Linked DNA regions of Drosophila melanogaster. The protein of the gene in region 1 interacts with the protein of each later gene in a pairwise test. Each region holds a gene or a part of one and is shown on either strand. Other genes may lie near its edges.

Region 1 (5,384 bases):
CACAACTTTTACAACTTAATCTTATACTTATTCTTATTATACGGTGTACTTAACTTAACCCAATTGTAAATTCAATTTACACTCTCTATTTACAAGTAAATAGATTTGGCTCTAATTCTACACGCCCCTAAACACCCCACTAATCCTTGCTAAAATGTGAGACATTTATTTACACGAGGCGAGCGAAATGGGCATGGGAATTCGAATTCCAGGTGACGCTTTGGCTTTAAAGTGCTTTCTAGTAACAGTTCGTCTGCATAGCTTTAACACAACCGAAAAAAAGTTAATTGGGTGCGGCAGTTGCTTAAATTAGAAAAACTGACTGGGAAGGGAAAATCAGGTAGAATTTAAAATAGTGCTTGCGATATTCATAAAACAGTTCGCTTGGTCCGTATGAAATCAAGAGACGCCTCAACCAAAGCTTAGCTATGCCGATCCATTGCCCTTCATACGGTTGGTTTTGTAGAATTCTAGGGCTTGTCATGAAACTTGGCGAGTACTTATAGTGCTCCGGGGGAACTGTTGTACGCGAAGCATAAAGTAATGAGATCATTTAGTGCTTTAGGACAAATGGTTTACAAAACGAATTGTACTTGTATAGAAGCCACCACAAACCAAACAAAATGCTAAAAGTATAAAAATATATTTTTATGCATAAACGCTTTGCCTTAAAACAACAAAACAAACAAGAACAACATATTTAAATACAGAAAGATAATTTCTTTTAAAAAGTTTACAAGATGTGTTTCTATCTTTCAATAGGGATTCGGTAAGTATGTTAAGTAAGAATAAGTACGAATACTAAGTAAATTACATACTTCAAGTTCTAAGTATACCACGTTTTATTTACATTAAATTGAAACGTCCTTTGTTTATGAACCAATGTGGTCTATAAATAACCGACACACATTTATGAAATTCCATTTAGCAGTCAATTCTGTAAAAATTGTATTGCGAATTTCTGTCGGCCGGTAAGGTTCATTAACATTTGCGGAGCTGCTGTGGAAACAAATTAAGCAAACATGCAAATGAACTCGCAAAAAAATTGGCAAGAAAACTTGACATTTCGCGAGCTTTTGCGCGAGAAACGGAGACACCACGTAAAAGAGAACGATGCAGGACAATTAGCAGAGATAGGAAAAACAGCTGGCAAAAGGAAAATTCAGGGGAAAACACAACATGTGTGTGTTTTCTTTTCGCGCGCTCAAAGCAATTACAAAATTCACACACTGCGCGGCGGCCCAGCAACAAATTGAGATTACAAAACAACGTAAAAAGGTTCATTCACCTGTGTGCGTTGTGTCTGTTTCGCGCTTTTACGTGTTTATGTGTGAGACAAAGTCGTGGAAACAGAAAATATACTAAGTAAATATATATTCGAAGGAGTAGTTTATAATGAACAAGTTTGCAAAAGAAAATGCTATTCATTTAGTAACTTAGCAATGAATGTTTGTTCTACTTTTAATTGCACTTAATATCCTTTAGGGCAAGTTCTAAGGTAAATTATTTAACCGCATTTATTTTACATAAATAAATATTTGTATAATGGTAGAGTGGTGTTTGAGCTTTTAATATCGTGATCAAAGCGAGTGTCGCATAAACCCTTTGCAAAAAATAAGTGCGAGTGTATGCGGATTACCCGCCATTCGCCCGCGCCAGCAACCACAAACACACACAGACAACACATACACCTACACTAACACCGGTAAAGCGCAATTGGCCATTTAGTTTCGCGCAAATAACAACGGCACGTTTCGCATATTTATAGCGAAACAGACATTGCGACAATTAATTAATGTTTAGCACAAACAACGTTGTAACAACAGCAACAACACACAAACAACGGGCCAAAACGAAATTCGCAAATTCGCGTGTCGCTGTTTTGGGTGCGTTAGTGTGCGTGAGTGCCTGCATCGGCATTTAACTGTAATAATTTATCTTAAACTTACTTGATCCTCAATTATTTCTATTGCTTTCAAAGCAATGGACAGTAAAACCAATAAATATTCGGTGAATACAACACTATAATCAATGTTAGACCATGCAAATTTCAATATTCGCCTATAAAAAATACAGATCCCGCGAAATGCTGAAAAATAGCGACAATGTGAACGAACTGGTGGCGCTTTAAAAAGCCGTCTGCAACAATTAAAATACTGCAAAATATACTGAAAAATCGCGCTGGGAGCTGCCAACTCGGTTGGTTGCACATAGAATAGTGTGTTTCATATCGACGATTCGATTACCACAAATATCGCTTGGCTTGGCCAATTCACTTCGAATTTCAAATCGAAGCAGGAACGTCGGTCCGCGGCGGAAACAGTCGTTAGCAGTTCCATTTCGTAGCGACATTAATTGGTAACCATTGGGACTCGAAGTGCAACACACAAAAGTGGACTGTGCAGCGCGATTTATGTTAGTATTCCATGCAGAAGCCGAAGTTCTGGGCGATGGAACCACCCTCCGGCAAATGTTAAATATTTATACACACCACCAACGGAACGCACGCACTTACATATATTTCCCCATTGCAAGTGGCGCCAACATATGTAAAGTAGCGATAAGAAAACAACCCAGAAGAGGAAGGCACACTTATTGTAAGTGAATGTGCACTGTGTTACATGGTTATGGATATTTCGAAGTTCTATTGATTTTTGGGTTCTCCAAATTTTTTTGCCGCCTTCGACGTGTTTTTGTCGCCTTTTGTTTTGTGCTTTTGCTTCCGTGTGTGTTCGTTCGCCTTGATTTTTCCATTTAACTGGGTTTACGTCTTTATTATTCTGTTTTTTACGTCGTCGTCCCCCCTCCAACAAACTTGTGGGTGGGTTGGGCGCTTGAACCGCTGTTGATTCACCTGCCGTTTGTTTTTTTCTCTTATTTTGTTTTCAACTTCACGGGCAGCTGCGAAATCTCAGCTGCTCTAGCAAAAATAACAATAACAAACAAAACAAGAACAACAAAAGTCAGCTTTCGTTGGTGCAATAACCGGTTTTCAAGCTTTATCGTATTTCGAAACTGTGCTAATAGCTGGTGTTGTTTTTCGTTTGGCATATTTTACCGCTTTGTTACCCACATAATTATAAACTTACTAATAGTAATGACTGTAAAAAGTGGCGATAATTTACAATTACGGAGCACTTGTTAATATATTGAATTTCGGTAGCAGCATTGGCAGGCAGTTGATTTTGATGCAAAAACTTTCCCACTTAAAATGTCAGTTATTCATTTTTTGTACAACATTTTTACCTGCCTGCCAACTGCAGATGCATGTGATGGATGCTTCCTCCTTCTCGTTTTCGCACTCACCTCCATTCGCACACTGAGAAAAATTCATGATAATCTTCATTTTACCGAACTAAAACAAATATAAAATATTGACATCGTATCAATAATATTATAAACTGTTATAAAAGTTTTAAAACATAAAAACTTCATTTTCTGAATAGTATTTTCTTTCCTGAGTTCCTTGAACTGAAGTTTAGATTTCAGTGTAGCTAGCATAATTTCTCGTTGAGCCTTTCGGACATGCAGCAGGCAATTTCTATGTCCTGAAACAAGCCAAAAGCGCTCGCTCCAAGGATAACAGGCTCGTCAGGCCACAAAATCGATTCTCCACGAAGCCCAATACCTTGGAGAAAACCCGACACGTGATGGTGCCTGGCTGGGAATTACGGAAAATGTAAAAAAAAGGGGCCACGCAATAAAGGAACAGGATGGCTTGGATTGGGCATTCTAATGGGAACTTTCAACTCGTTCTCTTTCTGCCCTTTTCACAACTTCTGGCGCAAACTGTGGCAAAATTCAAACGGGAGAAAAACATGCCGGATATAAGCTGTAAATTAAAGGGGACAACTCGGTCAGATATTTTGGGGGAACTAAGTTTAGAATCCAGGGTGTAGATGCATGTGGCAAACAACAAGCAGATACCGTATCTAAGATTATCTAAACTTCTTATTGGGGGTGATTTCCGGCTGAGAACGAACGGGATTACCTACCACACTTCTAAAGCGATTGCATCAGTATATTCTGTAGACCAGTCGCAGTAGTAAACAAATTGCTTCATAAGATAAGTTATCTCTAGTTTTATTAGGGATTAGAATTGCAAAGTGGGAATCGCAAAAAAATGCAATTATTTTAAATAATTATATTCCCCCCAACACTTGTTTGCATAATATAACCATCGTTAGCCTCATTAATATACATTTTGTAGTTTTTTATTGAGATTTAAATTCTCCAGACCAAAACACACAATCATTGTATCACACATCATTGTTAATCTCTTCTTTCAAAAACTTTCGACATTTTTCTTTTTAATACATCCCCTGACTCTAAGGCCAAACTTTTTTAGGGAAACTTCGGCACTTAAACGCATCAAAAATTCCTTTTCAACTGGCGCCCGACAAAATCCCTAGGAATTCAATCACTTTCGCTTGGCAACCAAAAAATTTTCACAATTCTGCTTGTAAGTAGTGGGGAATGTGGTGTATTTGGTGGTGCACAGATGCCTGAAACTAACTTTGAACTATGCATGCACATCGGGAAAATATTTTGTTTCTCCATTTTATATATTTTTCGCCGGCTTCTTTTTCGTTTCGAGATGGCAAGGATCAGGCACACAGACTCCTGGCTGCCGTCTGGTTCCCAGGGGATGGGGTTGCATGAAGTTGTTCTGTCTGCGCTCCATCCACAACTGGCTGGTTTCCCAGGTCCTGCTCCTCCTGCTTCCCGGCGCCCAACATCCTTTGTTGTCTCGCTGGAAACGGAGATGGCGATTGGCGCTGCCGTTGGCTCTTTTATGACGCAGTTGGTCCGGACAAGTTGAAGTTTGTTTGCTCGGCCGTGCCTGCAAAGGAGTTCATTCTTGTATAATGCATTAGCGAGCCACTGAAGAAGTTGTCTCAGTATAGTATGTCCGTGTTTGTTTAAAGCCAATCGGGTACAATATGTGGCTTCTCCTTCTATCCGCCAAACCCGTAAAAATCCGAGCTCAACCGAAAAAGTTTCCGGCTCATTAAAACCAATTTGTCTGGGAACATTTATAGAACTTTATGCCTTTGATGAAAAACAACCATTTGGCGCTAGACCAGCCGCGCGAAAATAAATAACATTTTGCCAATTTCCAATTAATCAGCAAAGTCAACAGCAGCAAAGGTTCATTGAATTTGCAGCTGTGTGGGGTTTTGGCGGGGTGGAGATTTCGGTAAATGGTTTGGAGTTAGAAGGGGGGTATATCTGGGGCTTAAGGTTTCCCTCCAAGCACGCTCCGCTTTCAATGATTAGTCAGCCGAGTGATATGACTAAGCGAACCACCAAAGCGTTTGGCCACCACACGAGACGGAATGAAATTCAAATTAAAACTAGAAGTCCGAGAGGTGAGGTTGGTT
Region 2 (4,169 bases), 2.2 Mb from region 1:
GAGTGAGTCTCTGGAACATGCGAAGCGTGCGTAAGTCGGCAACATGTAAACGCGTATTAATTAAGCCAAAACAAAGCGCCGCCGCTCAAGAACCAGACGAAATGCGAAGACGACGACGTCGACGGCGACGAGGACATGCAAAAGGAGTGGCACGTGGGCGGCGGTGGCGATGGCAGGGGGCGTGGCAAGTCGTCCTGCGAGTCAAGAGCTCGCTCGCTGCCATTTCCCCCTGTCAGGGACTCAATGTGTCCGTAGGAAATGGAAATGCCCTTATAATACGCCAGACGTGGTACATTTTCTTTTTTGTATGTGTGCGGCTTTCTTTGACTGATTCTTTTGATTCCAGTTATACATTTTAATTAAAACCACCTCATAACATAACATACATAACTCGCCTATCTCGTTGTAGTTAACAGGCGTTTTATTTAAATAGTCCCTTAATGAGCAAAACAGTCTCGCCCAGTCTTTGTCCTCACCCCACCAGGTGAACAGCTCTCGAAGTTGTCGGGCTGCCGGCGACACTTTTCCGTCATTGTCCCACCTGTCATCGCCAGTCGGTCCGAGCTGCCACAAATGTCAGTCACCGCTTTAAACGCTTTTGGCTAGAATAAGCTTCAAGTCAAAAACAAAAATTGAGTAAACGATTTAGAAATAAAACACATTATTTGAAAAGGGAGTTGGTTTAGCCATGACCTTCTGTGCGTCCGTCGATTTGTATGCAAACTAGAGTCTCAGTTTTAGAACTAGCCGAATAAAACTTTCAAAAAGTCTTTTTATTGTAAGTTTGTTAATTCCAGATATAAACACTCTATCATATAGGAAAGAAATCATATCATCGTGGTTTTTAATTATAAAGTGTTCTAATTCGGTATAAGCATTTTTCTATTTTAAATATATTTTAACTGCAAGCATATATATATAAATGGATATATAGATTTTACATTTAACGTTTTTCGGCTGAGTGCATGAGAATGATTTTCGTGCCCACTTTAATTGCAATTCGTGTTAATTTCGCCGGCGAAACTGGGTTTAACAACCACTTGAGGCGGCCAGCTGCCACTTCATCGGTCATTATGGTCAGCCATAAACAAATCAGCAAACAAAGTGGCAGCCACCTGCCACCTGCCGCCTTCCATTGTCCACGTCGCCACTTTGCACACCCACTTTTCGCACAAATTGCACGTTGGGCGCCACAAAAGTTGCGACCCAAGAAAAAGCAAGCGGAAAGAATAGCCGAGCCAAGAAAGCGAAGGGAAACAAAGGAACGAGCGAAAGAAAATCTTTCATTATCATGTCACGTCAATCGAAAAACAATCTAATGACTGCACATGATTTCTATCTCAAATAGGTTGGACGGGAGTCTGGGCAAGGGGCAAAACAGGACGGGAAATCGCCCTACATACACACTGAACTCAAACACAAATGCCCACAGAAGTGGTTGAAAAGTTTGCGGCCAAACGATTATTATGCATTAGCCATGCTTAAACGGTTAAATCAACTGTAAATCCCTCTGCCCACAATAAGGTCGTTGGGGGCAGCCTTCGATGGGCGGTCAACTGCACAAGTCAAGTGTGAATGAGTGTGATTTGATAAATCACTGCGATATAACAAGGCTCAACGTATCTGAAACTTAGATACCGAGGCGGACAGGCATTTCCAGTTGATTAGGAAGTACGGCTTGGAGCTCACTTTTATAAAGACTTCAGATTTCGAATAGATTATGTAACTATCCTAAGCCTAAAGTGTTAAAAAAATTCTGAGTGTGTTTGTTTTTGGGACGAGCTTAATAGGCTTTTCAGTAACGGTTAAGTTTACCTTTTAAATATTTAAATCTATTAAGTTTGTAATATTTCCGATTTTAATGATGTACAAGTAAGTAAAAAAAATATTATGGTGTCTATTGCTATCGCTAATATGCATATTTCCGTTTTCATTCACAGCAACCGACCCACGGCGTAGGTATCGATATAAGTTACTATCCAGATCTGAGTATTTTAATATTTTTCTTTTTAAACAGTATCAGTCTAGAAGAGGAGGTTCAATATATCTATAAGTACCCTTTGCTGCCGACTCCACTGATTGATTATGGATTTATCTACAATCTGGTTTGCAACAAGCCTCGGGATGTCAGTGTGCCGTTGATCCTAGAAATTGAGACAGAGTTCAAGTCCAAAGACAGTGCTCCTGAGAAGCCAAAGAAGGTGCCTAGGCTTTCATACCATTCCCGATCGAGTTCAATGAGTGAAGATGAACCGGAACCGGAAGTGCAAGTTAAATACCAGTGGAACTCGCCGCGGCTGATGATTCTCTGCGAAGATGGAGACATCAATTGCGCTTTGCACTATCTCGTTGAGTCTCTTCACGATCCCTTCGCCTGCAATGCGGTGGCCACTCTTTTCTTGCAGGAATCCATATTGGAGGAGTTCGTGGATCGCATAAGGGATCGCCTGGAACCGTTGAGCACGGATATCTCCGGGCATCCGGTTTATATAATGACACTGGAGAGAATAGGTCACTTACAGGCAAAGAGAATAGTTGGAAATCCCAAGACTGTTCCAGAAAATGCTAGTCCCATGCTGGTCTACGACCTTAGCCATCGTTACTTGGCTGATGGACCCACCGGGGTCATAACCCTGCACACCTTTCGAACCATGAAGGAGGCCGTTGAGCTGCAGGCTAAGGAACCACTTAACTTTACCTCTGTGTGCATTTGGAACGAAAAACTGGCAGCCGCCTACGAACTGGTGGCCCGATTAAGTCCGCTGATCTTCACGATTAATTGTTACTACGTTAATCTGAACGAAATCACTCTGCCCTTCGTTTGCAACTTTAACTCCGCAAAGATTATCGACGGCTACCACTACGAGTCATTGACCTTTAAGGGAAAGCGCAAAGTGGTTGTCCATCCAGTTGGCACCATCTGGGCAAAGTTGGCCCGCGAGGCACTCGTCCAGTACTGATCTCTCCCATCGGGGGGTCGCACTCGAACTTCTTTTGACAGCCAATTTAAATTACTAGTCATTGATCTAGGGCCTCTGGCTAATTGACTTTCCGGTTGGGCAACTCAATTACCAATTTAATTGCTACAAAACGTCTGCCCGTCCCAAGAGTTTTGGCCTACATATTTTCCGGGGAAACTCAACAGGCCGTTTCCCCGGCCTAATGGAAATTATGAGTGACTTTGTATTGCGATATTAAAAATTCTTTCTGCGAAGTAATTCACCTAACGTGCCAATAATTTCAAAAATTAACTTTGCCCCATTGGCACCTTCCCCGATTTCCCCGCTCTGCAGAACAAAGGCAACAAAAGGCGGTTCGTGTTGGCAACAAAATGTTGAGGCTGCCAGGTGAGTGGGTGGGAAGTGGCTGGATGGCGGGTGGAATTTCGAATATGCCATAATTACTCCACTTGGTCGCTGCTGAGGGTCGATCGTGCAGAGGGGCCACTGGGCGGTCATATTAGTGGCACATTTCGGCTTGTTGGTTGGCCAAATAATACGGGAATGGGAATGACTTTGGCAAACGGGGGCTGGGCAACTTTATAATGTACTTCCGTTTGCTTTCATTCACATGGCAGCGGAATATCAAAATATTTGACATTTGCATAAATAACACGGCCACCGACGCAGATCCCGGGCAAGTTGAAAGGCAAATAAGGCTCGAATTTTTCGCCCAGCCCCAAACCACACACATATCATGCCTGGAATTGGGCAAATTTAAAAAACCAGCACATGCCAAGGGGCATGGAATGGAAGCGGTGCGGAGCAGAGCGAAATATGCAACGCAGGCAGTGAAAACAAAACCGTGGAATTTCTGTCCACCAGAGTCGGGAGTCCTGGCCACGGACTCCGGCTGAGGGTGGGTCCAGTGGCTATGGGCAAATAAGATTTGCGTGAAATCCAGCAGAATTCTGTTGGCTACCAGGGTTCCGGCCCGCTGTGGCATAGTAAAGCATGTCGGCAAGCAGGGCCCGCTCACTAAATAAACAAATTCATAAACAAACAAGTGCGAAAATATGGGACTTTACTTAGGCTCCCGTCCGATACCCTGATGGAGCCATTCAAACGAATTGTTCAATATAGGCACGCTAAATATGAAATACGACGGGCAATCTTAGCATGGAAAAGTGCACACAAAAAAATATATGTACTTAGGACTCGTTTATGACA

What was found.
Region 2: the proteins of CG9801 (region 1) and CG2336 interact in a two-hybrid assay, tested with the Drosophila melanogaster proteins (one large-scale study listed by BioGRID).

Annotation. Positions count from the first base shown.
Region 1 is NT_033777.3:8,744,557-8,749,940, reverse strand, and holds the start of CG9801 (uncharacterized protein), read left to right. Parts: upstream 1-2,265; 5' UTR 2,266-2,415; exon of another isoform or gene 2,416-2,597; intron 2,598-4,279; exon of another isoform or gene 4,280-4,462; intron 4,463-5,384.
Region 2 is NT_033777.3:6,579,056-6,583,224, forward strand, and holds CG2336 (uncharacterized protein), read left to right. Parts: upstream 1-1,728; 5' UTR 1,729-1,861; coding exon 1,862-1,872; intron 1,873-1,940; coding exon 1,941-1,955; intron 1,956-2,017; coding exon 2,018-2,960; 3' UTR 2,961-3,216; downstream 3,217-4,169.